Callithrix jacchus: one gene and its partners. The main gene of each other region encodes a partner of the protein of the gene in region 3 in a complex. Links are inferred from orthologs where the notes say so. Each region holds a gene or a part of one and is shown on either strand. Other genes may lie near its edges. The genes, in order: NOTCH1, F7 and POGLUT1.

The links.
Region 1: the proteins of POGLUT1 (region 3) and NOTCH1 are in contact, whole or in part, in a crystal structure (PDB 5UB5), measured with the Homo sapiens proteins. The link is inferred for Callithrix jacchus from reciprocal best matches to the Homo sapiens genes POGLUT1 and NOTCH1. Residues at the interface, in NP_689518.1 of Homo sapiens: Met103, Phe104, Pro105, Ser106, Arg107, Asp133, Gly170, Pro171, Ala172, Val173, Trp174, Pro178, Thr179, Gly180, Thr214, Asn239, Gln240, Ala241, Val274; in NP_060087.3 of Homo sapiens: Asn454, Glu455, Cys456, Val457, Asn459, Pro460, Cys461, Gln462, Asn463, Asp464, Ala465, Cys467, Gly472, Glu473, Phe474, Val485, His486.
Region 2: the proteins of POGLUT1 (region 3) and F7 are in contact, whole or in part, in a crystal structure (PDB 5L0S), measured with the Homo sapiens proteins. The link is inferred for Callithrix jacchus from reciprocal best matches to the Homo sapiens genes POGLUT1 and F7. Residues at the interface, in NP_689518.1 of Homo sapiens: Met103, Phe104, Pro105, Ser106, Arg107, Arg132, Asp133, Pro171, Ala172, Trp174, Pro178, Thr179, Thr214, Asn239, Gln240, Ala241, Val274; in NP_000122.1 of Homo sapiens: Asp108, Gln109, Cys110, Ala111, Ser112, Ser113, Pro114, Cys115, Gln116, Asn117, Gly118, Gly119, Cys121, Gln126, Ser127, Tyr128, Arg139, Asn140.

Annotation. Positions count from the first base shown.
Region 1 is NC_133502.1:184,968,925-184,979,288, forward strand, and holds part of NOTCH1 (neurogenic locus notch homolog protein 1), read right to left. Parts: coding exon 10,268-10,364; intron 9,777-10,267; coding exon 9,623-9,776; intron 9,531-9,622; coding exon 9,346-9,530; intron 8,835-9,345; coding exon 8,702-8,834; intron 8,367-8,701; coding exon 8,109-8,366; intron 8,033-8,108; coding exon 7,920-8,032; intron 7,322-7,919; coding exon 6,750-7,321; intron 6,556-6,749; coding exon 6,136-6,555; intron 4,761-6,135; coding exon 4,612-4,760; intron 3,892-4,611; coding exon 3,675-3,891; intron 3,496-3,674; coding exon 3,408-3,495; intron 3,329-3,407; coding exon 3,163-3,328; intron 2,257-3,162; coding exon 1,961-2,256; intron 715-1,960; coding exon 567-714; intron 474-566; coding exon 376-473; intron 1-375. UniProt on the Homo sapiens protein: Functions as a receptor for membrane-bound ligands Jagged-1 (JAG1), Jagged-2 (JAG2) and Delta-1 (DLL1) to regulate cell-fate determination.
Region 2 is NC_133502.1:28,571,528-28,581,891, reverse strand, and holds part of F7 (coagulation factor VII), read right to left. Parts: intron 5,825-10,364; coding exon of another isoform or gene 5,802-5,824; coding exon 5,616-5,801; intron 3,958-5,615; coding exon 3,817-3,957; intron 2,393-3,816; coding exon 2,283-2,392; intron 1,535-2,282; coding exon 1,411-1,534; intron 821-1,410; coding exon 225-820; 3' UTR 1-224. UniProt on the Homo sapiens protein: Initiates the extrinsic pathway of blood coagulation. Serine protease that circulates in the blood in a zymogen form. Factor VII is converted to factor VIIa by factor Xa, factor XIIa, factor IXa, or thrombin by minor proteolysis.
Region 3 is NC_133516.1:83,323,096-83,333,459, forward strand, and holds part of POGLUT1 (protein O-glucosyltransferase 1), read right to left. Parts: intron 9,817-10,364; coding exon 9,673-9,816; intron 3,690-9,672; coding exon 3,554-3,689; intron 761-3,553; coding exon 639-760; intron 1-638. UniProt on the Homo sapiens protein: Dual specificity glycosyltransferase that catalyzes the transfer of glucose and xylose from UDP-glucose and UDP-xylose, respectively, to a serine residue found in the consensus sequence of C-X-S-X-P-C.

The DNA of each region.
Region 1 (10,364 bases), on a different chromosome or scaffold from region 3:
ATAGGGGCTCCATTCCCCACGCCAGGCTGTGCGCCCTGCCCACTGTTCCCCACGCCAGGCTGTGACTACACTGTGACTGCAACCCAGGACAGGGCTGGGTCTACCGGGTGACTGCCATGTCCTGACAGTGGACATGCACTTGGGAGGGCTCCGTAAACAGGGGCTGAAGGAGACGGGGAGCACTAAGGAGGTGCCGGCACCATGCAGGCGGAGCCTGTTCTCGGGCCCAGGAGTCCTCGAGACCCTGTGGCTCAGGCCCTCGCCTCCCTGTGCCCCTTGGATTTGGCTCTCGCTTCCCTGAGCTCTGTGGGTTCAGACCTCTCATCCCCCAAGTCCCCTCTCTCGTCCCCCTTTGCGCCCTGGTCTCACGCTCACCTTGTTGTTCTGCATGTCCTTGTTGGCCCCATTCTTCAGGAGCACCACTGCGGCATCCACATTGTTCACAGCGGCAGCCCAGTGCAGGGCGGACTTGCCTGCGTGAAGGAAGCAGATGGGGTGGGTTGGAGACCAGCGGGCAGGAGCCCGGTCCGACCCTCCCTGTGGCAGGCCTGCCCCCGAGGGCTTACCCAGGTCATCTACGGCGTTGACGTCAGCGTGCGAGTTGATGAGGTCCTCCAGCATGCCCTCCACGGCCAGGCGGGCAGCCAGGATCAGCGGTGTCGTGCCATCGTGCATGCGGGCGTCCAGGTCTGTGGCTCGGTTCCGGATTAGGATCTGGGTCACAGGGAGAGGCTCGGGCGGGTGCCGGGCAGACACACACCGATACCTCCTGCCCAGAATGTATGCCTGGACCGGAGGCCCCACTGCCCTCCAGATACAGAGAAGACCCTCCTGAGATCTGCATGGCCGGGCAAGGCGGGATGCCATGGGCTGCCCCTGAAGAGGGGCCAGGCGGGGGTAGGGGCTGTGCTGCTCCCCCTGGTGACAGTGGGGCCCATCGTGACCTCACGTGGCCTCATCTAATCCTCACCGTGGTCTTAGCTGCCATGACCACCTCCAAAACAGAGAAGTCAAGTCCCTGCCTCCAAGAGGGAGCACTCATGAGGCCCTGCACACGGCTCTACAGCCGACTTAGAACCACCCACAGAGAGGCGGGCAGCCCTTCAGTGCAGCCTGGCCTGGGCCTCCGGTGGGAGGGATGGACCCTGCTCACCAGCAGGTAGAAAAGGCAGGGGCCACTGGCCATGCAGCACGGGCCTGATTCCTGCAAAGCACCTGGGAACTTCTACATCTGTGCAAAGGCGCTGGGAGGGGCACACACCAGGCCTACACAGGGCTCCCCTCGACACTCCTTCCACTCACCTATGTTTATTTCTGCGGGATGACAACGTGTCCCAAGCTAAGAAATCATGAAACCAGAAGCTGTGTGGTGACCGCCCTGGGCTGTGCCCATCTGAACCTGCTCTGGGGCCACCTGGAGCCTGGGGGCCTACAGCAGGGGTGACCCCAAAAGCAGTCCCTGCCAGGGACGTTCCCTGGAGACCCAGGCATCCAAATCCCTAAATCTGTTCTTGCCACGAGCTCGCCAGCAAGCTGAGCCCCAGGTCTGCAGGCACTGAGAGGCAGCCTCTAAACCCTTCTCACTGCCACAGGCTACCCCTGCAGCCAGGGCTGAGGCGGGTGCGGGGCCTCAAGGGGCTTCAGCGGGGGGACCTGGACCTTGAGCAAGGTCCACAACCCTGCCAGAGCCTGTCTTGCTGCGGGTGGGGAGGCCCTGCCTCGCTCAGCAGGTCCCCTGGGCCTCCTTCGGGACCCACCTCTACCTGGCTTCCCTGGAGGATGCAGATGGGCCTGACGCCCTCCCCACTTGATCATCACTGACTTCGAAGGTCCTGGGTGGAGGCACCAGCTGTTCTGGCCTCAGCTGTTCAGGCTCCCAGGGCCATGTAAGCCTGGCCACTGCCCCGGACCACCCACTGGCCCGAGGAGGGCAGTGGGCACCCAGACAGCTGCTGCTTACCTGGAAGACGCCTTGGGCGTCGGCAGACACGGCCGCATGCAGCGGGGTGCGGCCCATGTTGTCCTGGATGTTGGCGTCCGCACTGGCCTCCAGCAGGCGCTTGGCGGCGTCAGAGCGTGAGTAGCGGGCAGCCAGGTGCAAGGCAGTTTCGCCTGTGCGGTCTGTCTGGTTGTGCAGGCTGGCGCCCTGGTAGATGAAGTCGGAGATGACGGCTGGCGCATCCTCCTCCTCCTCACTGTTGCCCATCTCTAGGCCGCCTCCACTGCAGGAGGCGATCATGAGTGGGGTGAAGCCGTCTGCAGGGGCAGAGGCGATGGTGTTCAGTCTGGAGGGCCGGTGCCCAGCTGCAGCCCAGGGGAGGGGGGCAGCAGCCCACAGCTGGAGGGGCCACGGTGTGGCCCCACCACCCAGCACTCAGTGACCCTGAGCACATAGCCACTGCGGGGCAGCTGAAGTCCGCCTGGGCTACTCGGTGGACAGAGCCAAATCCAGCAGTCAGCTCCAGGCAGGCAACGAGACCCCAGCAGCTTGGCTTCCTGACCTGCCCAAGACCTGGCACCCAAAACCCACCCAGGAAAAAACAACGCCAGAAACATGCAGTTAGAAAATCAACACTTTGGCCAGGTGCGGTGGCTCACGCTGTAATCCTAGCACTGTGGGAGGCCAAGGCAGGTGGGAGTTCAAGATCAGCCTGACCAATATGGTAAAACCCTGTCTCTACTAAAAATACAAAAATTAGCCAGGTGTGGTGGCGGGCGCCTGTAGTCCCAGCTACTCGGGAGGCTGAGGCAGAATAATTGTTTGAACCCGGGAGGTGGAGGTTGCAGTGAGCCGAGATTACACCACTGCACTCCAGCCTGGGTGACAAGAACAAGATTCTGTCTCAAAACAAACAAACAAACAAAAAAAAAAACAGAAAGAAAGAAAATCAATGTTTTCCATGTCTCAAGAAGAAGGTTTCAGAAGAGATTAATTTACAGGTGCAGAGTCAGCCTGCAGCATCACCCAGGAAGGCATTGCTGGAAGAACAGGATGACTCCAGGACCCCCTCAATCCACTCTGAATGGGAAACACCCCAAGGATGAAAGCTCTCGCCCCCAACTCTAAGTTTGCAGAGTATCAACTGTACCACAGCCTTGGGGCTTTGGGGAGAGGGAGGTGGGCCGTGGGGCTGGGGAAGTCCTGGCTGCTGGCACCCCTACCAGGCCCTCGGACGTTGACATCCATGCAGTCGACATCGACCTCGCCCTGGGGCGGTGTGGGGGCCATGGCCGACATGCGCAGGTCAGCGGCATCCAGGTGCTGCTGGGTCCACTGCCGGTGGTCTGTCTGGTCATCCAGGTCAGGCAGAACCACGGGTTCCTCGAACTAAGTTGGGGGAGTGAGCAGAGTCATGTCAGGGCAGCCGGTGGCAGGAGCCTGGGGGCCCAGGAGCCCAGCGACTCACCCGGAACTTCTTGGTCTCCAGGTCCTCGTCCCCCCACTCATTCTGGTTGTCATCCATGAGGGCACCGTCTGAGGCGTTCTTCAGGGGCCTGAGGGTGAGGGGTCAGAAAGTGAGGCGGAGCCAGCTCCCTAGGAAGCCCCCAGAGGCCCCTGGCCCAGGCCTGGCATGGGAGGTGGACCCTGGGTCGGGAGGGTCAGACCTCCAGTGAGGATGCCTGGCCAGGTCTGCTTCCCCCGACCCCCAGAAGCCGGGGCAGCGTCCGCTCACTTGAGGCCCACGGAGTCCTCGCCAAGGGGCTCCCGCCGCTTCTTCTTGCTGGCCTCGGACACCTTGAAGCCCTCGGGGAACCAGAGCTGGCCATGTTGCCGCCGGCGCTTGCGGGACAGCAGCACCCCACAGCCCACGAAGAAGAGGAGCACAAAGGCGGCCGCCGCCACGTACATGAAGTGCAGCTGCGCCGGCGGGGGCGGCTCCACGGTCTCACCTGCGGACACAGAGGACGGCGGCAGGCGCCTGGACATCAGGTGGCAGCTACGCAGCAGGCTGTCGGCTGGGGGGCAGCGGACTGGTTCCGCAGCTAAGCGCCTCCTCACCCGCTCTCCTCCATCCCGCCCCCCAAAATAAGGTCATTTTCTACGCGATTAATCAGAATTGCAAACTATCGCTAAATTCTCTCCTGCAGCAGCCGACTCTATCTGGAGACGGCTTTTACTTTTTTCTCCTTTAAGGGAGGAGGATTAGTGAACTTCAAATCGCAGCACTCGCATTGAGCTGTTAAGACAAAGGATTTAGGGGGATTTTCAAGATACAAACTTCAACACTTCACATGACACCGATCAATTCTTCTCTCTCTCTCTTTTTTTTCTTAAAAAAAAGCCGTAATGATTTTGAAATAATACCCAACAAAGAATAATCAGGGGGAAGGGGTGGGGAGAGAAGAAGGCACCCGCTTTCCCGTGGATGGGCTCGTTCCCGAGTGGCTTCACCAGCAGCTGTCACCGCCACAGGTCGAGGCGGAGTGCCATTCAGAAAATTCCAGAAAAGCGCTACCCCATCTCGGAAGGTGACTTGCACATCCATGGGTGGCAACTGGCACAAAGAGCTAGCATGTTTGGGGCACGGGGAGGGGGTGGTCGCATCCCCTGCAGGGGGAGCCTGTTCCATGCCGTGCTGGGCTGGGGGCAAGGGTGGGTGCCGTACTTACTCTGCACAGCCTCGATCTTGTAGGGGATGTTGAGGCTGCCTAGTGAGGCGAGCGCCCCCAGGAACGCAGCCACGTCGGTGGCGCTCTGGAAGCACTGCGAGGAGGCCTGCACACACTGCCGGTTGTCAATCTCCAGGTAGACGATGGAGCTGGGGGGACAACCGGGCAGGGGCTGGGACCCAAGGCTTCCTCCTCCCCTGCCCGCCAGTCCAGGATGATGCCCCCAGGACACCGAGGCCCATGATGCAACAGTCAGGACACCACAGGGCAGCCTGGGGCGGAGGGAAGCCAGGTCTGACGGCAGCTACCCCGGAGGGGACCAGTGTCCTGCAGCCCCCGGCGTCTGGCCAGTGCCGATCGCAGCTCATCCCCGGTAACTGCCAACACGCTCTCCTTGCCCCACCCTGCCACCCTCTCTGGCTCCTTTTGGTGCCACAAACACATTCCTCATCTCAGGACAGAGTATGTGCCAGGAGCCCAGTTCTCTCCCAGGAGCCCAGTTCTCTCCCAGGAGCCATCCCCAGGCCCTGTGGGAAGTGCAGATGTGCGGTGGGGGCGGGCGCAGCTGTGGTGGGCTGTGCGGTGAAGGGGGCTGGGGGTGATCCCTGCTCCCCAGCGGGGCTCCTGCTGCCCAAGGCTGGGTTCCCGTGAGCAGGATCCCATCCAGCCTGTGAGATGATGCTTCTGACCTCCAGAGCTGCCCCAAGGCAGCAGAACTGATGAGCAAACCCACCAGGATCAGGCACATCAGGGGCACAACTGACCTGGCCCCTGGGTCCAGCTGTCCCAGAGGGAGTAGACGGGGGCGGGAGCCTTGTGGGTGTCCCTTGCACTCAAGCTGCCCCACCTGTGTTCTCCTACCATGGGACCCCCTTCCCCACCAGCTCCTCCTTTGTCTATAAGGTCCCTCCAGGACCTCTACCTGCCTCCTCTCCAGCCCAAACCAGGCAGATGCCATGGCCAAGTGGCATTCTTGTCTGGGGTGGGTCTGTTTAGCCCTGTGGGAGCCCCCAGAGAGCTGAGCTTTTTGTTTTTTATTTCTTTTAATACTTTTTAAAGAAAGCAGAGACAGGGTCTCCCTATGTTGCTAAGGCTGGTCTTGAATTCCTGGGCTCAAGGCAAGGGCTCCTCCTGCCTCAGCCTCCAAAAGTGCTGAGATTACAGGCATGACCCTCCTCGCCTGGCAGAAAACTGTGTTTTAACATTGTAGTACCCAGTGTCTGTGGCATAGCTCAATCTCAAAATTACCCACTGGGCACAGGAGTGAAACCTACCCAGCCTGGGGAAGGCAGTGGCCCAGGGAGGGGTGTGGCTGCGGGGTCAGGGCCCTGAGGTGGAATGCTGCCTCTGCTCCTTGCCCATGTGGGCCCTGAAGTTCCAGGTCCTCTCGGAACCTCTGTCTCTTTTACCGTAAAATGGAGAGAGTACTGCTTGCCCTGGCACCGGCCACGAGGGGCAGAGGAGCCATGGGGGAGATCCCAGGTGAAGTGCCGGGACTGATGGCAGGTGCTGGGTCTCACTCACCCGCGGATGTCCATGGGGTCCAGCTCCCTCCGCCGCCGCCCACCAGGGAGCAGCGAGGCCTTCACCTGGCCCAGCAGGGAGCCGGGTGCGGCCCAGCCCTCGGCAGCACGCTTGATTGGATGCTTGCGCAGCTCCTCCTCGCGGCCGTAGTAGGGGAAGATCATCTGCTGGCCGTTTGCGTCGCGCTTGAAGACCACGTTGGTGTGCAGCACGCGGCTGAGCTCGCGCAAGAAGTGGAAGGAGCTGTTGCGCAGCTGCTCTGGCGGCATCAGCACCACCACCACCAGCGTGCCGGCCGCCAGCCTCTCGGGCACATGCTCTGCACAGTCCAGCCCGTCCCACTCGCACTCCGCGCTGTTGCAGCCCTGGTCGCAGTGCCCGTCGCTGAAGTGGTCCTTGCAGTACTGGTCGTACAGGGGACTGTGGGGGTGGAACACACTCAGGCCGCCTTCCTCCGGGGGCCTCGCACCCAACCCCGGATGGTCCAGCCTGTGGACCGGCCTCGGGGAACATCCCTGCACCCGCTGGACGGAGCTTTGGGAACTGCATGCTGGCCACGTCCGAGTTCGGGTCTTCCCTTGCCCCCACGGGGACGGCCCACCCCGCAGCCGTACTTGCACTGGCCTTCCACGCGCTGGCAGTCGAAGCCGTCGAAGAGGCAGCCGGCCGAGTTGCACTGGCTGTCACAGCGGCCGTCGCTGAAATATTTCCAGCACTGCAGAGACTGCGTGCAGTTCTTCCAGGGGTCGTTGAAGTTGAGAGAGCAGTCGCCGCCATCCCAGCCACACGCGTGGTTATTGCACTGCAGGCTGCAGGCCTTGTTGCCCGAGTCCTCCCGGCACTCAGGCAGTTCACATGCCTCCTCGATCTGCGGCGGGGGGATGTCGCGCCCGGCCCCACCCCCAAAGCTGTAGTCCAGGATGTGGCACAGGAGCCCGTTGAATTTGGCAGGGCACAGGCAGCGGTAGAAGGGGCTCTCGGATGTAGGCTCACAGGTGCCCTGGTTGTAGCAGGGGTTGCCACCCAGGCAGGGGCTGCTGGTGGGAAACTGGCACTCGGGGCCCGTGAAGGGGCCCAGGCACAGGCAGGTGGGGCTGCGTGGGCCGGAGATGCAGGTGCCACCATTGAGGCAGCGCAGGCTGCCACAGGCACGTGCGTCGTTCTCACACGTGGCGCCCTCGAAGCCCTGCCCAAGAGGGAAGATGGGACAGTGTCAGGGTGGGCCACCCCTGGCCACCTCAAGCTCAGCACCCAGCCTCCCTTGACCTGGGAGGCAGCCTGCAGCCTTGCCCCCAGCAGCAAAACCCTTTACAAAACATTCTGTAGATGGAGAAAGATTAGGGGGTTCCAGGGGGTCGGGAGATGGAGGAAGGGGTAAATTGGTAGAATGCTGGGGACTTCAGGGCAGGGACTGTCTGCCCTGATCCTTCGAGGGTGGGAACGCGTGTCATACCTCAACCCAAGCCCACAACCACAAAGCCAAGGGCAAGCTGCAGGTAAAGGAAGGGCTGGTGCTGGTAACAACGTCTAAGTGCTGTGGCTCACAAGTGAAACTGACGCAAGCTGCATGCAGGGGAGCCGCATGCAGGGGAGCCGCCCCAGGGACTCTACCTTCCGCTCCATTTTTCTACAAACCTAAAATCTCTCTAAAACTCATTTATTCAAACTAAAAAAAAATGACATCGGAGTGACATGGCTGCCCCGCTTGCGCCCCGAGGCCCACATCTGGACCTCTCCAGGTGCCTCCCGGGAGGGTCCCCATCCCCCTGCACCCTGGCACCTACCGAAGGGCACTTGCAGATGAACCCGCGGGCAGTGTTGGAGGCCACGGCACAAGTTCCCCCGTTCTTGCAGGGCTTGCCCTTGCAGCCATTGATGACTGACTCACAGCGGCGCCCTGCGGGGGAGAGCCCGGCAGTGAGAGGCTCACCCTGCCGCCCTGTGGGCCCCACCCGCCCGGGCATGGCACCCACCGGTGTGACCGGCACGGCACTCGCAGTGGAAGTCATTGACGCGCTGCACGCAGTTCTGGGTGCCGCGGGCGTCACAGGGATTGGAGAGGCACTCGTTGACGTCCCCCTCACAGCGCTCACCCACGAAGCCCGGTGGGCAGGTGCAGCTGTAGCCGCCCACCTGGTCCACACAGGTGCCGTTGTTAAAGCACTTAGGGCTCCGGGACACGGGGTCCATGGCGGGGTTGCAGTCGTCCACGTTGATCTCGCAGTGCACACCTGTGGGGCCAGGTGCCATCAGAGGCCTGTGCTCACCACACCTCTGCCCTGCCGAGCCCTGTCTTCCTCCCAGATGACAAGTGCTCTGGTCTGGGGCTGCACGGATGCTCAGGAGAGGCAAGTGCCAAGGGTGCAGGGGAGACATCTTTCCCGCTGGGATCCCTGCTCTGGGCCCCTTCCCTGGGCAGCTCTGTACTGGCCTTGGCCTCACAGGAAGACGGAGTTTCTGGGTGGTTCCTGGATACCTCTGGCCGATCTCAGGGTGCCTGCCCTGCCCCCGCCCTGGCCCTGGCCCTGGCCACCCAGACGCCAGCCCTCCGTGCAGTGGCCCTTACCCTGCGTGCCCCGTGGGCAGGAGCACTTGTAGGTGTTGGGGAGGTCGAGGCAGGTGCCCCCGTTCTGGCAGGGGTGGGAAAGGCACTCGTTGATCTCCTCAGAGCAGTTCACCCCGTGGTAGCCGGCCACACACTGTGTAGGCGAGAGAACCGGGGGCTCAGCCGGGGCCAGGATTTGGCACTCCCCCCCTCCACTGTGAGGGCTGGCAGGGCCGTGTGAGCTGCCCTCAGGTCCCATGAAGCATGGGCCCCTCGATCCTGTCAGACCTGGAGAAAGAACCCCCCGCCCCGCCACCCTCAGCAGACCCTGGTGCGGCCTCGGTGACCAGAGTCACTGTCTGATGGGGCTGGGTGGACCCCGTCCTGTAGGATAGAGGTGAGGGCCTCTGGGTAAGTGCTGGCCAAGCCCAGATACAATCTAGGGGAAGAACCCCCTCCCACTTCTTAGCATATTCACCCTCCTCCAGGCTCTCCACAGGCCACCTCTTCCAGGAAGTCCACCCCGATTACCCCAGCCCTCCCTTAACGATCCTGGACAGTGCGTGGGCCTATCAGGTCTTCTCCCCTGTGCCAGCTCGCAGTCAGGGCCTGGTGTGTGGCAACACAACCGGCCACAACCCCCACTCTACAATGGGGGCCCCCACCTTGCAGGAGTAGCCGCCCAGGTAGTCGGTGCAGGTGGCCCCATTCTGGCAGGGGCTGGGCGAGCACTCGTCTACCAGGTCCTCACAGTAGCTGCCCATGTAGCCCGCCTGGCAGCGGCAGTGGTGCGTGTTGCCGGTGTCCACACACAGCCCCCCGTGCTGGCACAGATGGGCAATGTCAACACCTGTGGGGGATGGGGTAGGGGGGCAGGTGAGGCCCAGGCCCACGGAGGACCTCAGTGGGCTGGGACCTGGGCGGTCGGGCACAGCAGGTTACCTTGCCGCTGGGCGGCCACCTCACAGGAGACGCTGGGTACGTCACAGTACAGGCCGGTCCAGCCACTGGGACACTCGCAGCGGTACTGGGTGTGGGTCTGCCAGCATTTGCCCCCGTTCTTGCAGGGTGAGGAGTCACACCAATGCACGAGGTTCTGGGGACAGGCTGGGGTCAACCAGGTGCCTGCCCCCGGGCCATCCCTCCAGGTCACCCCCCAGGCTACTCACCAGGGCACCCCCAGGCCATCCCCCAGGCCACTCTGCCAGGGCACCTCTAGGCCATCCCCCCAGGCCATCCCCTTCCCAGTTCATAATGCATATCGGCCAAGGAGCCCCATTCCATCCTGTCCCATAGCCCACTCTACAGAATTGGAAACTTCGGCCTCTGGACTCCCCACCGCCCCCACACCAGGATTTCCTAATTCCTGAGCTCCCGCCCTGGCTGCAGAAATCAGGGATTGAACAAAGACGCCTGCTGCTCCCACATCAGATTCCCTCACTGGCCGCTCAGATCCCTAGAAGCCCTCCGCCCAGGGGTGTGGGGGCCCCAAGCTGACACAGTTGGGCCTGGGGGTGACCATTCCCACCCCCCACAGGCAGGCACGCACCCCAGGCCCTCCTCAGGCACCTGTGGCTGCACACTCACCTGGCAGTTGGGGCCAGTGTAGCCCTGGGGGCAGGTGCACCTGTAGGAGCCACAGCTGTCCTGGCAGGTGCCACCATGCAGGCAGGGTTGTGAGTCG
Region 2 (10,364 bases), on a different chromosome or scaffold from region 3:
TCTGCCTCTCATCTTTCTATGCCCTCTGTCTTTATTAGTCTCTTCGAGTCTCTCCATGTCCTCAGAATGTCTCCCTCAGTCTCTTTCTGTCTGTCTCCCTCCCCACCCCTCCACCCCTCCCATGCCCTCCTCTACTCCATGAACTGCAGAAGAATCGATGGGGTTTGGTCCCAGGACAGCTCTACATGGCCCCAGCTTTCTCTCCATGGGGCAGGGCTGCTGGGCTAGGGAAATGGGGCTCGCCGGAGGATGCCTGGATGTGGCTCTGAGTGCAGGAGCTTGTGCAGCCACTCGGTGTACTGGGAGACCCTGGTGTACACCCCAAAATGGCCCACGGCTGCACAGCCCTGGCCCCAGCTGACGATGCCTGTCAGGTACCACGTGCCCCGGTAGCGGGTGGCGTGTGGACCTCCACTGTCCCCCTTGCAGGAGTCCTTGCTGCCATCCCGGTAGCCGGCGCAGAACATGTACTCCGTGACATTTGGGTAGCCTCTCGTCTTCTCCGACTGCTCCAGGCAGTCCTGGGTCATCAGCCGGGGCACGTTGATGGCCATGAGCTCCAGGGCCTTGGCGCCACGGTCCAGCAGCTGACCCCAGCCGCTGACCAACGAGAAGCGCACATAGGCCAGCGTCATCTCAGAGAATGTCTGCTCAGGCAGGCAGAGGGGCACCACGTGGTCAGTGAGGACCACAGGCTGGTGCAGGCGGAGCAGTGCGATGTCGTGATTGGTGGTGCCCCGGACATACGTGCTGGGGATAATGACCTGCACCACCCGCTGGCTCTGCTCGTCCCCATCGTGCTCGCTGAGGTCGTGCTCACCTGGAAGGAAGGAACCCCACTCAGGGCTATGCCACCGCCTGCAGCCCCACCCTGGTGCATGGGGACAGGCTGTGGCCATTTTCACATCTGCAGGGGCTGCAGTCTCCTTTTGGGGCCAGGGGGCCTGCATCGCACCCCAAGGGGACCTGGCAGACCCGCCCCAGTGGCAGCCTGTGGCTCGTGGGGAACATGTGAACTGGGGTGAAACTGCGGCCTGGGTGTTGGGGTAGGGAAGCGGTACTGGGGCCTGGCAGCTGGGGGGACAGGGTGTACCCCGATTCTTCAGTTCTCGGCCTGGTGGCCCTCCTGGGAGTGATCATCTTGCCCATAAATCCAGCCACCTGGTGGGCCCACAAGGCTGTGGGCGTTGCACCCTCCTCTGGGCTCTTGGGCAAGCGAGGCATGATGGGCAGAGCCCCCAGTCTTTTACCATTTTATTTGGGCATGGGAAAGTGGCTGAGGATGGTGGCCAGAGCAGGCATGCCCAGCTTTTGGAGACATCTGTCTGTCTGTGGAAGTGACAGCGTGAAGCCCAGAGCAGTGGCCCCTGGGACTGAGAGCTGCCGTCAGGGAGAGAGGGCAGCACCTACCCAGCACCGCGCTTATGTTCCTCCAGTTCTTGATTTTGTCAAAACAATGAGCCGCGGAGACCACCCAGCTGGTGTCGATCAGGGTCCCCCCACAAAACATAGCTCCATTCTGCACCAGCAGCACCTGTGCGGGGCACAGCAGGCGTGGAAGTCACACTGCTGTCAGTTTCCCTGATGACTCACCCTCCTGGGCACCACAAGGGACCTCTGGCGTCGCACAATTTGGTTCTGCAATCCTCGGGTCTTTGCAGACCCCTCCCGGGCAGAGCTGCTCAGACCCGGCTCTGGTGGGCTGAGCCCCTCTCTGGCTAACCCAAGCCCCTCTCTATGACGCATGCTCTTGGGTACAGTGGCTCTGGGGGGCTGAGCCCCTCTCTAGCTGACACATGCTCTTGGGTACAGTAGCTCTGGGGGGCCGAGCCCCTCTCTAGCTTATGCATGCTCTTGGGTACAGTAGCTCTAGGGGGCCGAGCCCCTCTCTAGCTGACGCATGCTCTTGGGTACAGCCTAACAACACAGATGTCGCTGTGGGATTTCACTATTCACCTCACAGGATCTTCACATAGTTTTGATCCAGTGCTCCTGACTTTGCAAAGCTCAGGCAAGGATTCTAAAGAGTGACAGGGAGGATGACATGACAGCTCGGGTGGGGAGCCTCGCTGGGCTCTTTGCACAGGGTAGACCCTCAGTGAGTGTCGCTTTCTTCTCTCCTTCGCGGGGTGCAGCGAGCTGGAGGTGCTGGGTGGGCTGACGTGGAGCCTGGTGGGCCTGGGCTGACCTGCCTGTTTCCCTTCCAGAGCTGTTGTCCAGCTCACATTCAAAAGTCTCCAAGCCCCTCAGGGCTCAGAATCCTGAGGCCAGGGAAGTCTTACCTGCCATGGACACTCCCCTTTGGGGCACACCCTGCCCCCCACAATTCGGCCTTGGGGGATGCTGGCATTTCTTTTTTCTAGAATAGGTATTTTTCCGCATGGATATTCAACTGTGTAAAACAAAAGTCAGGAAGATGCAGAGATCTGTGAGGAGTGTGCCCCAAGTTCAGGCTCAGAAGCATCCTTGCTCTGAGAGGCTTGAGGCCGAGGTTTCGGGAGGCCCCCTCGCAGGAGCTGCCAGGTCCCAGGGGTAGGGGAGGGCAGGGCCTTGGCTGGGCCTGGCTGGTGGGGCTGGCCCATGAGAGGCCCTGGCAGAAGCAGCTGGCTGAGCAGACAATGGTCAGGGCTGGCTCTGGAGGAAACGGAGGGCCCTACATCTTGAAACCACCCTCTGCTCACTGTTCAGGGGGACGATGTGTTGCTTGACTTTACTAAAAGGTTAATGAAATTCTGCCTAAAGATGAATCAACAGCACAAACAATTGTGTTGTTCTGATCCCACGCTGAGTTTTCGATCTGCTCCAATTAAGGCCTTGGGCCAGAAAGAAAATCCGAGGAGGTGGCAGGCTGAGTTCTAGGCTGTATGGCTGGGGTGGGCACATCTGCCTCTGAGAGACACAGCGGACATGAGGGGGCCCTGCTGGAGACGGAGTGGGCGTGGGGTGACCCTGCCTGAGACAGAGCGGGAGTGGGGTGTCCCTGCCTGAGACAGCGGGAGTGGGGTGTCCCTGCCTGAGACAGCGGGAGTGGGGTGTCCCTGCCTGAGACAGAGTGGGAGTGGGGTGTCCTGCCGGAGACAGAGTGGGAGTGGGGTGTCCCTGCCTGAGACAGAGCGGGAGTGGGGTGTCCCTGCCTGAGACAGAGCGGGTGTGGGGTGGCCCTGCCTGAGACAGCGGGAGTGGGGTGTCCCTGCCTGAGACCGAGCGGGTGTGGGGTGACCCTGCCAGAGACAGAGGGAATGGGGTGTCCCTGCCTGAGACAGAGCGGGAATGGGGTGACCCTGCCTGAGGCAGAGTGGGGGTGGGGTATCCCTGCCTGAGACACAGCATGCGTGGGATGTCCCTGTCTTTGGAAGTGCAGCCCATTAGCTCCAGGCTGGTTTGGAGAAATGTCCCATTTTCCCAGGAGCCTTTACCGGGTTAGGAATGCAGAGTGGGGCAGCAGTCAGTAGACACTGGCTGTGTCCAAGCAGATTCACGAACCCTGGTGGAGGTCCCACAAGTCGGGGTGGGATGTGAGACAATGCCTCGCTTGTCTCCCCTGGCCTGTCTAGAATGGGCAGGGGGGCCTGAGGCCATTCAGGGACTGCCCCAGGGTGCCCATCCCAGGCACTATGGCTCTGGCCTGTGCCACCTTGGTGCCCAGATCCCGCCTCACAATTGGTCAGCGCATAGTGGGTGCTCAGTAGATGCAAAGCCACCCCTACCCATCTTTTGTCCAGTAAGATAATCCGTGGTGGGACAAAGACTGGTGTCATCTGGGACTGGGGGTCATCTGGTACATGAAACCACAAGCAGCCCCTGGGGCCTGGTCACCTGTGGGCATGCAGGACACCCCATCTGCCAGCAGTGAGTATCCCTCGTGGCACCGACAGGAGCGCTTGGTGCCCGCGTGGTCGCTGCAGTACTGCTCGCAGCCGCCGTTCTCATTTATGCAGATCAGCTGGTCATCCTTGTCTGAGGACAGGTAGGGGACAGCTCGAGAATGGCCCCTTGGAGTCAGTGAGAGCCAGCCCCGGGGGTAGCCGTGCCCTGGGTCAGCAGCTGCCTGGAAGGTAGCACTCAGCCGTGGGCGACAGAGACTGAGCTTGGCACCAACTGCTCCATGGATTGATCCAAAGGACCAGGCCTGGATCAGGAGTCACATGTCTGAACAGCCTTGCCAGCTGGGGACAGCGCTGGCTGCAGTTGCATTTGGGGGGATGCCTGGCTGGTGGGCAGTGGCCTCCAGGGCGACCGCTCTTCTAAGCAGCTGATGGGGAGCTGAGGGAAGCCTGGAGGAAAGTGAAAGTCCCATGGGGACAATACAAGTGTCCAAGGGACTTCCAGTCAGGGATCCAACTGGCAGGAGGACCAGAGAGCTGAGACAGTTCTCCATGCTGTCCTTGTGCCTCCATGAGCCAGCCTGGGGACAGTCAGCCCCAGCACTGGCCATGGGCTCAGACAGAAGACACAGAACCGGCAGCCCGACTTTGCTTGATGTGGGCAAGGGGAGTGGTCCTGAGTAAGCCCAGGACTCTGGGGGGAAGGCTGCCCTGCGGGATGCACACCAGAGCTGCTGGGCACCGGGGCTGCTGGGCACCAGGGCTGAGCAGAGCTCTGAGATGTCCTGGGCCCAGATGACCAGCAGGAAGCCTTTCTCCTCAGTCTCCCCTACTCTGCTGGGCTCTCCTCTGCTTAAATTAGAAAGTGGCTGCTGCCGGAGAGAGCTCATTCAGTGTAAGAATGTGGACTTGGATGGTCAGGGAGAGAGGGCAGCCTTTGCCTTGGCTCCTGGGAAGTGACCGCTAAGCCCTTGGGAGGTCCTGCCTGAGGGAATGTTGTTGTTTACCCAGGCCGTAGGCCATGCTGGACAGTCTAGCTGACAATGTGACACATGGCGGGGCCTAGGGCCACACTAACAGCTTGGCCTCTGGAGGGACTGGAACTTAGGTCAGCCACATGGGGGGGTCAGCTGGGTCTTTGTGACTGAGCCCTGATAAAATCTCTAGACACCAGGGCTCGTGGCACTTCCCAAGTTGGCCGTATTTCCCACATCTCGTCACAAGTCGCTCTGGGAGAATTAAGAACTGTCCACATGACCCCACAGGGAGAGGACAATAGGAAGCTTGTGCCTGGGCCCTCTGCAGACTTAGGGCTGCATCCTTTGCAGTAATACACAGTAACGGTGAGTGTATCCACTTCAGTGGGTTCTGAGTCCTTCCGATGAATGACTGAACCCAAGGGAGGTTGGGGGCCCCCACTTGGCAATAATTTAATGTTCAGAAGGGAAAACCTTCAAACCTTTGTAATGGGAAGTGTTTGGCCTGGTGGGATGTGGAAGTGGGACAGGGACACTGGGACTCTCAGCTGGGCCCTCTCAAGGGCTGAGAATTTCCCGGGGCCGGGAGCCCAAGGGGCCGCTGAGTCTGAGACTTAGAACCCTGGGTCCCTGGATCAAAGACCTGACTGGAAGGAACTTCAAGGTCACCCACACCAACTTCCAACTGGGGCTGACCCCAGAATGCCCGGTCCACACACCCCACCATGGTGCACCCTGTAGCCCGCTGGGCTAGGCCACCTCCACCAGCTCCCCAGGGCCCTCTGCAATTATGGGACCCAAAGTGGGACCTCACTTGTCTCACAGTTCCGGCCTTCGAAGCCAAGGAGGCAGAAGCAGATATAGGACTGGAACTGGTCCTCACAGGAACCCCCATTCTGGCATGGACTTGAGGCACACTGGTCCCCATCTGTGGAGTGGGCTGGCGTCAGGACACTGCGGAGAAGGCTGCAGGCAGCATCGGTGGGCGATCTACTCACCACTGTAAGAAATCCAGAAGAGCTTCTGAGGGAGCAAGAGAGGAAGCACGTGAGCCACACCTTCACCAGAGCACCACCAGCAAGCCCTGGACAAAGCACAAGCTAGGGGCGGGGGCTTAGACCTGGGCCTGGCGGGGTGGGCTCAGGAAGCCAGACTTTCCTCTGGAGCCGAGGGAGGTTTCTCCTCATCTCAGCCCCTCCCCAGGACATCTGGAACTACGGGTAAGCACACATTGTCTGCTCCCAAGTCAGAACAGCTGGGGTTCAGCCCTGACTCTTCTGTTGCCGAGCTGTGGACCTGGGGCGAGGGACACAGGCTCTGAACCACAGCTCCACCTCTGACAGGGCAGCCACACACACAGCTGCACGGGGAGAAGGTGTAGTAGCAGATGAAAAATATTCCACAAACTACAAAAGCGCTCCGCAGAAAAAAGTGGTTGCTGAAGAAACTGTTGGTCATCAGAACTCAAACTCACAGGGTGCTGTGAGAATATAACAGATGAGAACTGCTTTGAAAACTAGGTGTAGAAAAACGCTAGGCATGACCATCCTCCATTTGCCTGGAGAGGGCCATGTTAGCCTGTGTCTCAGCTCGATCTCCTGTGAGTGTCAGGCTTCCTGTGAGTATGAGATGTCCTGTGTGAGGTGACTTGTGCCTATGAGATGTGGTTCTCTGTGACTGTGAGGCATCCTGTGTGAGACATCCTATGAGTGTGAGGTGAGAGATCTCACACAGTGAATGTCAGACAGTCTATGAGTGTGAGGTGATCTGTGAGTGTGAGGTATCCTGTGTGAGGTGACCTGTGAATGTATAGTCTGTCCTGTGAGTGTGAGATCTGAGTGTGAGGTATCCTGTGAGTGTGAGGTGATCTGAGTGTGAGGTGATCTGTGAGTATGAGGTGATCTGTGAATGTTTAGTCTGTCCTGTGAGAGGTGACCTGTGAGTGTGAGGTGATCTGTGAGTGTGAGGTGATCTGTGAATGTGTAGTCTGTCCTGTGAGTGTGAGGTGACCTGTGAGTGTGAGGTAGTCTGAGTGTGAGGTGACCTGTGAATGTGTAGTCTGTCCTGTGAGTGTGAGGTGACCTGTGAGTGTGAGGTGATCTGTGTGAGGTGACCTGTGTGATGTGATCTGAGTGTGAGGTGACCTGTGTGAAGTGTGTCCTACGAGTGTGAGGTGACCTGTGAGTGTGTGATATGATCTATGTGATATGATCTGTGGGGGGAGGTGATCTCTGTGATGTGATCTGAGTGTGATGTGATCTGTGTGAAGTGTGTCCTGTGTGAGGTGTCCTGTGAGTGTGAGGTGACCTGAGTGTGAGGTGTCCTGTGATTGTGAGGTGACCTGTGAGTAATATGATCTGTGTGAGGTGATCTGTGAGTGAGGTGACCTGTGAGTGTGAGGTGATCTGAGTGTGAGGTGATCTGTGTGAAGTGTGTCCTGTGAGTGTGAGGTGACCTGTGAGTGTGTGATATGATCTGTGAGGGGAGGTGACCTGTGTGATGTGATCTGAGTGTGATATCTGTGTGAGGTGATCTGTGAGGTGACCTGTGAGTGTGAGGTGACCTGTGAGTGTGAGGTGATCTGTGTGAAGTGTGTCCTGCGAGTGTGAGGTGACCTGTGAGTGTGTGATATGATCTGTGTGATACGATCTATGAAGGGAGGTGACCTGTGTGATGTGATCTGAGTGTAATGTGATCTGTGTGAAGTGTGTCCTGTGTGAGGTGTCCTGTGAGGTGACCTGAGTGTGAAGTGACCTGAGTGTGAGGTGTCCTGTGAGTGTGAGGTGATCTGTGTGAAGTGTCCTGTGAGTGTGAGGTGACCTGTGTGAAGTGTCCTGTGAGTGTGAGGTGATCTGAGAGTGAGTGTCCTGTGAGTGTGAGGTGACCTGTGTAAAGTGTCCTGTGAGTGTGAGGTGATCTAAGTGTGTGAGGTGACCTGTGTGAAGTGTGTCCTGTGAGTGTGAGGTGACCTGTGTGAAGTGTGTCCTGTGAGTGTGAGGTGATCTGAGTGTGAGGTGACCTGTGTGAAGTGTGTCCTGTGTGAGGTGACCTGTGTGAAGTGTCCTGTGTGATGTGATCTGAGTGTGAGGTGACCTGTGTGAAGTGTGTCCTGAGTGTGAGGTGTCCTGTGTGAGGTGACCTGTGTGAAGTGTGTCCTGTGTGATGTGATCTGAGTGTGAGGTGATCTGAATGTGAGGTGACCTGTGTGAAGTGTGTCCTGTGAGTGTGAGGTGACCTGTGTGAAGTCTGTCCTGTGAGTGTGAGGTGTCCTGAGTGTGAGGTGACCTGTGAATGTGAGGTGTCCTGTGAGTGTGAGGTGGGGTGACCTGTGTGAAGTGTGTACTGTGAGTGTGATGATCTGAGTGTGAGGTGACCTGTGAGTGTGATGTGATCTCAGTGTGAGGTGATCTGAGTGTGAGGTGACCTGTGTGAAGTGTGTCCTTTGAGTGATGTGACCTGTGAGTGTGATGTGATCTGAGTGTGAGGTGATCTGAGTGTGAGGTGACCTGTGAAGTGTCCTGTGAGTGTGAGGTGACCTGTGTGAAGTGTTCTGTGAGTGTGAGGTGATCTGTGTGAAGTGTGTCCTGCGAGTGTGAGGTGACCTGTGAGTGTGTGATATGATCTGTGTGATACGATCTATGAAGGGAGGTGACCTGTGTGATGTGATCTGAGTGTAATGTGATCTGTGTGAAGTGTGTCCTGTGTGAGGTGTCCTGTGAGGTGACCTGAGTGTGAAGTGACCTGAGTGTGAGGTGTCCTGTGAGTGTGAGGTGATCTGTGTGAAGTGTCCTGTGAGTGTGAGGTGACCTGTGTGAAGTGTCCTGTGAGTGTGAGGTGATCTGAGAGTGAGGTGTCCTGTGAGTGAGGTGACCTGTGTAAAGTGTCCTGTGAGTGTGAGGTGATCTAAGTGTGTGAGGTGACCTGTGTGAAGTGTGTCCTGTGAGTGTGAGGTGACCTGTGTGAAGTGTGTCCTGTGAGTGTGAGGTGATCTGAGTGTGAGGTGACCTGTGTGAAGTGTGTCCTGTGTGAGGTGACCTGTGTGAAGTGTGTCCTGTGTGAGGTGTCCTGTGTGAGGTGACCTGTGTGAAGTGTGTCCTGTGTGATGTGATCTGAGTGTGAGGTGATCTGAATGTGAGGTGACCTGTGTGAAGTGTGTCCTGTGAGTGTGAGGTGACCTGTGTGAAGTCTGTCCTGTGAGTGTGAGGTGTCCTGTGTGAGGTGACCTGTGAATGTGAGGTGACCTGTGAATGTGAGGTGTCCTGTGAGTGTGAGGTGACCTGTGTGAAGTGTGTCCTGTAAGTGTGATGATCTGAGTGTGAGGTGACCTGTGAGTGTGATGTGATCTCAGTGTGAGGTGATCTGAGTGTGAGGTGACCTGTGTGAAGTGTGTCCTTTGAGTGATGTGACCTGTGAGTGTGATGTGATCTGAGTGTGAGGTGATCTGAGTGTGAGGTGACCTGTGAAGTGTCCTGTGAGTGTGAGGTGACCTGTGTGTTCTGTGAGTGTGAGGTGATCTGAGTGTGAGGTGATCTGAGTGTAAGGTGACCTGTGTGGTGTGACCTGTGAGTGGAGGTGACCTGTGTGAGGTGACCTGTGTGATGTGATCTGAGTGTGACATGACCTGTGTGAAGTGTGTCCTGTGAGTGTGAGGTATCCTGTGAGTGTGATGTGATCTGAGTATGAGGTGATCTGAGTGTGTGACCTGTGTGATGTGACCTGTGTGATGTGATGAGTGTGATGTGATCTGAGTGTGAGGTGACCTGTGTGAAGTGTGTCCTGAGTGTGAGATGTCCTGTGAGTGTGGTGTCCTGTGAGTGTGAAGTGTGTCCTGTGAGTGTGATGTGATGAGTGTGAGGTGATCTGTGAGTGTGAGGTGATCTGAGTGTGAGGTGACCTGTGTGAAGTGTGATCTGTGAGTGTGAGGTGACCTGTGTGAAGTGTGTCCTGAGTGTGAGGTGACCTGTGAGTGTGAGGTGACTTGTGTGAGGTGATCTGAGTGTGAGGTGACCTGTGTGAAGTGTGTCCTGAGTGTGAGGTGACCTGTTAGTGTGAGGTGACTTGTGTGAGGTGATCTGAGTGTGAGGTGACCTGTGTGAAGTGTGACCTGAGTGTGAGGTGACCTGAGTGTGAGGTGATCTGAGTGTGAGGTGACCTGTGTGAAGTGTCCTGTGAGTGTGATGTGATCTGAGTGTGAGGTGACCTGTGTGAAGTGTGTCCTGTGTGATGTGATCTGAGTGTGAGGTGATCTGTGAGTGTGAGGTGATCTGAGTGTGAGGTGACCTGTGTGAAGTGTGATCTGTGAGTGTGAGGTGACCTGTGTGAAGTGTGTCCTGTGAGTGTGAGGTGATCTGAGTGTGAGGTGACCTGTGAGTGTGATGTGATCTCAGTGTGAGGTGATCTGAGTGTGAGGTGACCTGTGTGAAGTGTGTCCTGTGAGTGTGATATGATCTGAGTGTGATGTGATCTGAGTGAGGTGACCTGTGTGAAGTGTGACCTTTGAGTGTGAGGTGACCTGTGTGAAGTGTGACCTGTGAGTGTGAGATGTCCTGTGAGGAAGCCCCAG
Region 3 (10,364 bases):
ACCTATAATGACTGTGTTTCTGAAAGTTTCTTAATTAAGCACCAAAGTTGTTTGAATCATCATGTAAAATGTAGCTGGGTAAGAAATACCTACAGCTTGGATGAGCTACACAATCTAAATTCTGAAATGATAGCAGAATGGAGTCAACAGGCCAAGGCACGTCTGTCATGAATCAGAGAGAATCTGGAATAAGCTTATACCTGAGATTCTTATGGGGCATTTATGATCCTTCAGTCCTGCCTAAAGAACTTGGCTCTCAATTGCCACGTATGTTTATGTTCTTCCAAATAATTTTCTATCCTCCCCTGTGACACCGTCATTCATTTTTTTCTTATTATGAAAGTAATTCACTCTTATTTAAAGACTCTTAAATATAAAAAAATTTAAAATAGAAAACAAGTCTCTGATAATCCCTCCCAGAGAGGCATTGCTGATAGTTTAGGATAGGTTATTCTGCCCTTTCTATGGATAATGTAAATATTTTTAGACACATACCAAATTGTTTATGCTACTGTTTGCTGTCTTTAATTTTTAACTTAAAAATTAGTCATTTAAAAGTAAATAATTGGTTATATTCTATGGCTTATTTCAAGAAAACCCAGAAAGAGGAAAAAATAAAACCTCTTTAAAGGACCTACCTCACCAGATCTTCTCTGAAGAGGTCCCACCGTCCAAGACCTGTAGGATAAATTGGCCAAACAGCAGGTCCCCCTTCCCAAAATGTCCAAGCAGGATACATGATATCATGGTACTCTGATGTCTTCAACAAAAACAGACAGGTCATTCTAAATCAGTCTTGGAACAGAGTGAAAAGAGGCAACTGCAATCATGCCACAGGATCTGGACAGCCTTGGTTTAGTGTCATATTGCCAAAGATATATTTTCCCTATTCTGCAAAGTCTAGCCTGTAGACATTAAAAGGCAAAAGTGATCATGGATTAGAAGTCATGGGCTCACTGAAGTCTAGAATTTAGAATCACAAATTAAAGGTCAACTTTTTCAGTTCCCCCACATCCTGTTTTTCTAGAAGATGTATACTGTTAAGGTTTTCAATTTAAGGAAACACTATTCCCAACTCTAAATAATCACAGAGCTCTCTCATTGTTTAACTCTTACACTTAGAGTTCACACTGTCTTACCAGTTTTTTGTTATTTCCCAGTGGGTTTTTTTTTTTTTTTTTTTTTTTTGAGAGTAGGAGCCAAGAAATACAGTGCAATGGTTAAGACTGTGGGCTGTAGAGGCAGATCATTGCTGACTCCACCTCTCTACAGCTCTAGCAAGTTACTGAATGGTTCTATACCTCAGCTTCCTTATCATTGTAATGAGGGAAACAATAATATCAATAATATGATCTACCTAAAAGGCTTATTTTGAATATTAAATTAGTTGATAAATCTTAGAACAGTATCTGGCACATTGTACGCACTTGATAAATATTAGCTAGTGTTATCTCATGCTGTGGGCTCACATTGGTTGGTTATTCATTGATCAGGGTCAGAAGTATGGATGAGCAGAATGAGAGGAAGGGATGTTATCATATATCTTTTGAAAGAAGTTTGAGGCCTGGCACAGTGGCTCATTGCCTATAATCCCAGCACTTTGGGAGGCTGAGGGGGGTGGATCACCTGATGAGACCAGCCTGATCAACATGATAAAACCCTGTTTCTACTGAAAAATACACAAAATAAATTAGCTGGGTGTGGTGGCAGGCACCATAGTCCCAGCTGCTCGGGAGGCTGAGGCAGAGAATTGCTTGAACCCAGGAGACGGATGTTGCAGTGAGCTGAGATTGTGCCACTGCACTCCAGCCTGGGACAGAGAGAGACTCTGTCTCAAAAAAAAAAAAAAAAGAAAAGTTTGAAACCATTTGTTCGTTTTTAGAGTTACTTCTGTTAAAAATTTGGCCACTGATAAACCTGTAACTCTACTGTTTCTTCCACTGGAAATACATGTGCAATATGCTGTTTACTTTCTCTCAAATATGTAAAAAATGATGTGATTCATCAAGCACCTTCAACATGACAACTATTCAACAGAAGCTGCACAATTAACTATAAAGTTGACAGAGTAAAACCCTCCCTTGGAAACTAGAAGTCACTGATTTAAAAAACAGGAGGGAAGTAAAGATGAACAGAAAGTTGGTAGACCTGTGGTCATACTCTATTATCCACAGAAACAATAGATAGATACCAAACATGAAGTCCCTACTGCCTTACATGGAAGCCTCTATCTATGTTTCCGGGTGAGTTTCAGAACAAACAATGGAACCAAGCACTTTTGAGAATGAAGCTAGACATGGGAAATGCAGCACAAATGTGGCCTCTGCCCACTTGCAACACAGGAAATAAAACAAGTCTAGGGGGAAAGTAAACTATTATAAAGAAGAAGTGGGGCTGAAAGTTCCCTCTGCTTTGGACAAACCAAATCAGAGATAGTGTTCATTCTCCCAAATTCCATGGGGTTTTCCTCAGTTTACTCTTACCCCATAGAATTTTCCATTCACTCTATTCCAGCCTCTCCACCACACCCCTGAATACTTTCCTTGTTTTTGGGGAACCAATGCCTATCCCTTCCAATACAACATGTACATGAACCTGAGCACTGACAAGATATTCCTTGCCCCCAATTCCCCAAGCCCACAGGTGTGTTCTAGCTACTTCAGTCTTCCATGATGAGTTTAGAAGATCACCCCCTTGCATAGCCTCTAGGCTATCTCAGGCCTATCCTTCCTATGCAATGTTTGCACACAACCCGTGTGGAGTTATTGAGCACCTTCAGGTTCACTTTTAGCCATGCCAGGCCCCTGGAATATGGCGACAGATGAAACAGATGATACCCAGCACTATGGCTGACTATATACATAGGAGTAGCTCAAAAAACGTTTTTTTGTTGTTTGGTTTTTTTTTTGAGACGGAGTTTCGCTCTTGTTACCCAGGCTGCAGTGCAAATGGCATGATCTCGGCTCACCGCAATCTCCGCCTCCTGGGTTCAAGCAATTCTCTTGCCTCAGCCTCCCGAGTAGCTGGGACTACAGGCATGTGCCACCATGCCCAGCTAATTTTTGTACTTTTAGTAGAGACAGTGTTTCACCTTGTTGACCAGGATGGTCTCAATCTCTTGATCTCATAGTCCACCCGCCTCGGCCTCCCAAAGTGCTGGGATTATAGGCGTGAACCACCACGCCTGGCTCAAAAAACATTTTTTGAATGAAGGTATTCCCTAACTCTAAGCTTTCTTGAACTCTTTCCTTCTATGCTCTATAGGATCTTTGAGTCCCACCTCTAATTCCTGTAGGTTTCTCAGGGCTCTCACACCCTAGCCTCCATCCCTAGCCTTAAAGAGACTCAACCAATGTTATATGACTTACCAGTTCTCAACTCCATCTCCTCTTTTGCTCAATCACTGTGATGCTAACAGAGACACAGACCTATTTCCGGACCTCAGTCCTCATCCTTACCATTACCCATCAAACTATATCACAGGACAATGATTTCATGCTCACATCCTAGAGGACCACCCTCCATTCCCTCTTGTGGCTCTCCCTGTACTTACCTTACTGAAGGAGAAGACTGGGATGGCAGGTTCCATCCATTTAGGAACCTGAGGATAATCTCGTACATTGATCACCATCTCCATGTCAGGGAGACGCCTGATCACTTCCAAAATAAAGTGCTCAACACCACTACACCTGTCAATGAGAGATACCATAAATTCAGCAGAGCAGTGCCTGCAGGCTCTAGGACAAGGTGAGGTACCCTTCACATTTTAAAGTAAGACAAGGCAGTGTTCCAAATCATAAGCCTATTGCAAAGTCTTCTGAAAGCAATGCTTTTACAGGGGCTATTCTGCTTTTTTATATTGTGCAAGTTCACTCCTAGTTAAGCTGCTCCAGCTTACAATACTTAATAAAATTTTCCAAATAAATCATCATAGCTTTGAAGGGAATACTATTGCTATTTCTACCACTTTATTCATTCCAGTTCTTTTTTTTAAATTTCCCTTTTATGGTATAGTTTAATTAGCAGACAAGATACAAACTCTTGTAGCAGCTGAAATAGCAAATTTTCTAACTGTGTTTCTTTGGCTTTGCTTCTCACTAAGACACCATTTTTATTTCCATTGTAATTAAGTCTCCTAGTTTATGAGAACAAATAGAAAACCTTTCATTACTTTCAACCTGAATAAAGAACAATATCAAAATCAGTTCTGCAAGCCAGAAAATCTGTTATATACATAATCATAAATACTGTAACATAGCTTTATGACTAGATTCCCTAGAAATCCTCAGAGGATTTCTTGAAAGAAAAAGATACACTGACAGTTTAGCTTGTTTCTGCCTCATCCTTTGAGGTCCTGACCAGCACTATGCTAGGGGCAGCTTGATCAAAATTTTCTAGCAGCATGGAAATGACTGATTTAAAATAATGTCTTACTACTTGGGAAGCTTAGGCAGGAGGGTTCTTTGAGCCCAAAAGTTCTAGACCAGCAACATAGTAACATAGTGATACAGTAGGCAATGTAGTGAGATGCCCTAGCCAAAAAAAAAAAAAAGTTTTATATATAGAGAGACAACTGCAAAAAATATCAATGGTTCACAAACATAGGAAAAGATGTTCAACTGTATTATTAATAAAGAACTATTATCTTGGCACTTGTGGAGGTCGAGGTGGGCAGATCATGAGGTAAGGATACCGAGACCATTCTGGCCAACATGGTGGAACCCCGTCTCTATTAAAAATACAAAAATTAGCTGGGTGTGGTGGTACACACCTGTAGTACCAGCTACTCGGGAGGCTGAGGCAGGAGAATCACTTGAACCCGGGAGGCAGATGTTGCAGTGAGCTGAAATTGCACCACTGCACTTCAGCATGATGACAGAGCAAGACTCCATCTCAAAAAAAAAAAAAAAGAAAAGAAAAAGAAATATCAATGATGCTAGATACCAATTTTACCAATCAGATTGGCAAAGATCAAAAAGTCTGACAGTGCACAGTGTTGGTGAGGGTGTGAGCTCTATTCACAGCATGTGATATAAGGGTTGTGGAAGTGGTTAGCCTCTTTGTAGGACAATTTGCTTCTCTTTACCAAGATTTCTCCTTTTCTTTTTTGAGTCAGGGTCTTGCTCTGCCCCCCAGGCTGGAGTGTGCAATGGCATGATCATGGCTCACTGTAGTCTCAAGCTGCTAGGCTCAATCTTCTCACCTTGGCCTCCTGAGTAGCTGGGACTACAACTGTGTGCCATCACACCTGGCAAGTGTGTGTGTGTGTGTGTGTGTGTGTGTGTGTGTAGAGACAGAGTCTTGATATGTTGTCTAGACTGATCTTGAACTCTTGGGCTCAAGTGATCCTCCCACCTCAGTCTACCAAAGTGCTGAGATTACAGGTGACAGCCATTGTGCCCCGCCTATTTATCAATTTTTTTTTTTTTTTTTTTTTGAGACAGAGTCTCACTCTGTGGCCCAGGCTGGAGTGCAATGGCATGATCTCGGCTCATTGCAACCTTCCCCCAACGTGCCACCATACCCAGCTAATTTTTGTATTTTTAGTAGAGATAAGGTTTCACCATGTTGGCCAGAATGGTCTCAAACTCCTGACCTCAGGTGATCCACCCACCTTGGCCTCCCAAAGTGCTGGGATTACAGGCATGAGCCACTGCACCCAGCCTGTTTGTCAAGATTTAAAATGACATTAATTGGCCTAGTTATGATATTTCTAAGAATTTAGCCTACGTATATATTTACATGAGTGTTGATGGTAACAAGGATATTCACTGCAGTATTGCTTTCATTATCTAAAAAGCAAAATGATGTGGTGAGGGATAATTTAAATGTCTACTAACAGAGGGCTGAATGAAGAAATCCACGTAATAAACTATTATGCAGCCACAGAAAGTGAGGTATTCTCTACGGACTTGTATGGAACCATCTCAAAATCTGCTGTTAAATGGAAAAGAAATCTAAGTGCAGAACAGAAGATAGAGCACGTTCTAGTTTGTTGATGAGTCTAGATGCTTATATATGGATAGACTATTTCTAGAAGGATATACAAGACCCATAATTCTAATTGTCTTTTGAAAAACAGTCTCAGGAACTAGAGGTCTGAGGGTCGGAGGTGGAAGAGAAACTTCCTTTTCACTGAATGTCTTTTGGAGTTATCCAAATATTTTAGCACACGGTAAAATAGATATTAATTGATAAAATAGATATTACCATCAAATAGATAGTAAAATATTTGGATGTTTTACATATCCAAAGTGCATGTAATACTCTGACACTAAAGGAAAAACAAACTAGTTAAAAGTTTTTTTAAAAGTTGTGGTACAATTTAAACATTACAGCTAAAACACTCATATTTCTTCCAAATTTGGCTTTTAATTTAATTTTATTAATTGTTTTTCTTTTTTGAGATGGAAATTCCTTCTTGTTGCCCAGGATGGAGTGTAATGGCGTGATCTCAGCTCACTGCAACCTCCGCCTCCCAGTTTCAAGTGATTCTCCTGCCTCAGCCTCCCCAGTAGCTGGGCTAATTTTTTTGTGTATTTTTAGTAGAGACAGGGTTTCACCATGTTGGTCAGGCTGGTCTTAAACTCCTGACCTCAGGTGATCCACCCTCCTTTTCCTCCCAAAGTGCTGGGATTACAGGAGTGAGCCACAATGCCCGGCCACATTTAGCTTTTAAAATAGTACTGTCTCATGATTCCATTTATAGAAAACTCTAGAAAATTATAGAAAATAATCTATAATTTGAGAAAGCAGTCAGCGGCTGCCTGAAGGTGGGACATGGAGAGAGAAGGCAGACAGGGGGATACAGGAGATAGTGAATGCAAAGAGGCACAAGGAACATTTTGGTTGAGATGAAAGGGTCATTATCTTGGTATAAACATACATGAGGACTTATCAGTGCACACTGTATTTTTTATTTTTAATTGATAAATAATAATTGTATATATTTACAGGATATAATGTAATGTTTTGATCTGTTTATATTATGGAATGAGTATATCAAGCTAATTCACATATCCTCACATACTATTTTTTTGTTGTGGGAACATTTACGTTATATACTTTATATGTAATTTATGTTAACCCCACTAAAACTGTTATTTAAAAAATACCATTACTTGTCATCTTTGAAATGACTTGTTTCTATCATTAATTAAACCTCTGGTTCTTCTGCTCCTCCTTGAAACGTGGAGTTTATATTTTATTTGAAGCTGAATTTTTAAAATGTCACACAGGTTTCTGAAACTGGATGAATTAAAAGTATCTAGACCTAGAAATACATTTCTAGCTAGATAGGAATCTTTGAGATACCATACAACTGTATGCATTTCATTAAGGACTATGTTTTGGAATGCTGTATTCTATTTGTATTTTGTCCCTCTCTGTTTTCCTTAGTTATATGTGTAGCTACGATAGGGAACTTTTAGTGTCAATGGAAATATACATTATTCTATTGCTAATGAAAGGTCCTGTGCTCCCTTTAGAACATTTCTAAGCTCACAATTCTGATCAAAATGCTCTGAGCTCGGGAAGAAGAGAATTGTGCCTTTCAGAAACTTTGAAAGTATTTAATTTCATATGCCAATTGTTCAGCAAACTATTAAACATTAGGTAAGCTTTCAAAGTCCAACATGTTTATATTCTTATTTTATTTCTCATTTGTGGAAATTAAAAATTCCCCTAGACTCATAATTTATATTTAAAGTCTCTATTATTGAGTCCCAAATAATGAAACAAATGTCTGTTTAAAATACCTTAATCATTTTTTCCACTACAACCTTATTTCCCCTGATACCTGATAGCCACAGGGTAAGTGATTTCCTCAGGGTTGTGGGATATTAAATAATCTTTCTTTTTTTATTGTTCTTCTTTTTAAAAATTTCTTTGAGACAAGTCTCACTCTGTCACTCAGGCTGGAGCACAGTATCATCTGTTTCCTTTAAGGAGGGTGCAAAGTTGTTCTAACAGATTTCGTTACAAGGGTACCAACTGGCCGCTCCCAGCATAGATGGTTTTTTGAGTTCGCCTCTTTTTTTTTTTTCTTCTTTTTTGGCCTCACTTCGTATGAGAGAAACTGCTTGAGTGAGGGAGGTGAAAGGAGTCCTGGAGGGTGTTCTCTGAGGTTTTCCTCACCATCCTCATTAGCCACCTGAGGAGGGGGCAGAGGACTGAAGTAGGACAGAAGGTCTCTGGTAGCTAGAGGAGGGGAAAATCAGGGGGATCCCCCACTTTCTTCACACCCAGGACGCAGGGTGCCGCTGCCGGCCACAGAAACCCCAAGAATGCCCACAGTGGCATAATTATGGCTCAGTCTCACTGCTGCCTTGACCTGCTGTGCTCAGGTGACCCACTCACTTCAGCCTCCCAAGTAGCTGGGACTACAGACACATGCCACCACACTCATCTAATGTTTGTATTTTTTGTAGAGATGAGGTTTCACCAATGCTGTCCAGGCTGGTCTTGAACTCCTGAGCTCAAGTGATCTGCCTGCCTTGACTTCCCAAAGTGCTGGGATTATAGGCACAAGCCACCGTGCCCAGACTGTTTTCTTGTTTATAGATTTATAACAGAAAATATTAAAATAAAACGAAGTTTTTATTAAATACAAATACTATAAATCTTTATGTACAAATTGATGCATTTATTTTCCAACTCTGCACATTTATTTTACTTTTAATGACAGAATAGGGGTTGTTTAGAAAGATGGTCTTAGATTAAGGGAATATTATGCCCTCCGAGTTTTATATCTTACTATTTTATAAAGAGTTGAGTTAAAAAAAAAAAATCCAAAAATAAGGTTTTTTTTTTATGTGTGCAATGATGCCTAAACCCAATCTCCACACTTAGCCCATGACCATCCCTGCCTACCACCCTGCCTTCAGCCCACTGACATGGTACCTCAGCTCTCACATCTGAAGTCCTGGCTAGTATAATCTGCAGCATCAGTTGCTCCTCTTTTGTTTTTTTATCTTTTTAAGTCAGGATCTCACTCTGTCGTCTAGGCTGGAGTGCAGTGGTGCGATCTTGGCTCACTACATACAGCCTCTGTCTCTTGGGCTCAGGCAATCCTCCTGCCTCAGCCTTCTAAGTAGCTGGGAGGATAGGTGTGTACCACCACACCCTGCTAATTTTTGTATTTTTTGTAGAGACAGGGTTTTGCCATAATCCAGGATGGTCTCAAACTCCTGGGCTCAAGCAATCCACCACAAAGTGCTGGGATCACAGGTGTGAGCCACCACATCCCATCTAGTTACTCCTCTTGACTCCACCACCTGTCCTTGAATAGTCAGCATCTAGAACTATACTGGCCCATGACAGACATTCAACCAACTGTTCCTCCTCCTTCAGCCCAGCACCCTCCTTCTGGGCCTGCTAAGCCTCATCAGACTGTGTCCTGCAGCCACTATATCCCAGGGAAGGAGCAGAAGAGGCAGAGCCACTGACAGTACAACCAGTGATGAGCCAAGCCTCACAGAGGAGTCAGGCTTTGAGAGGAGCTCACAAGAAAAATCCCCCAGCAAGGAGAAGAGCTCGTTACTATTTTGCAGTCCCCCTGAAATGTGAGGAGGGATTTGCTTGTTAGTTCCCTGAATTAGCTTCTCTGTAAAGGGTATCAAGTAAGCCTATATATAATAAAGTCAGAAGGTATATCTACCTAATAACTCTTACCTTGAGGGGAACATGCAGTCATTTTCCCGGTATAGTCTGTTCTTAATGATCTGATAGTGGGTCCCTAGCTTCCGTCTGACCACCTCTGCCATCATCTTCCTGGAGATACCTCCTCGGAAAGGAGTTAGATCTTCTTCTATGACGCTGGGAAGGAATGGGAGTCATCAAGGAAAGCAGGTACCATTCCACCTACTTCCTAAGTGCATTTAGGTTTCATATTAGAGAACACCATAAGCGGAAGGAAACAATTGAGGGTGAGAATGAGCAGCTCTTCCCTAGAAGCCCTGAAGGTAAACTGAAACATCAAAGGCAATAAAGCAACAAAAAGTAAAAAGCCGGTCAATGTCTCTTCTTTCTCCCTCCATCTGGATTGCCCCTTTATTCCTCTTTCGCTACTCATACCACACCTGTGTCCTTCTAGTCACTTCAGTCCTACTGGCATCTCCTTCTCCCAATCCCACAGGAAGTGAAGTTTATGCCTGACAGTCTAGCACTGACTCTCTTGTTCTGGTCTGTCTGGTCTGCATTCTCCCCTACACCCCCTTACTCTGGTAGCCTGACAGCACTATTACACAATTTTGTATTCTTTTTAAAGTTGAGTACACAGTAAGTTTTCAACAAGTATCATAAGCATCCAGGGGATTTTTTGAGGAGTCAAAATAACATAATGAGGAGCTTAAAAAACCCTGTTA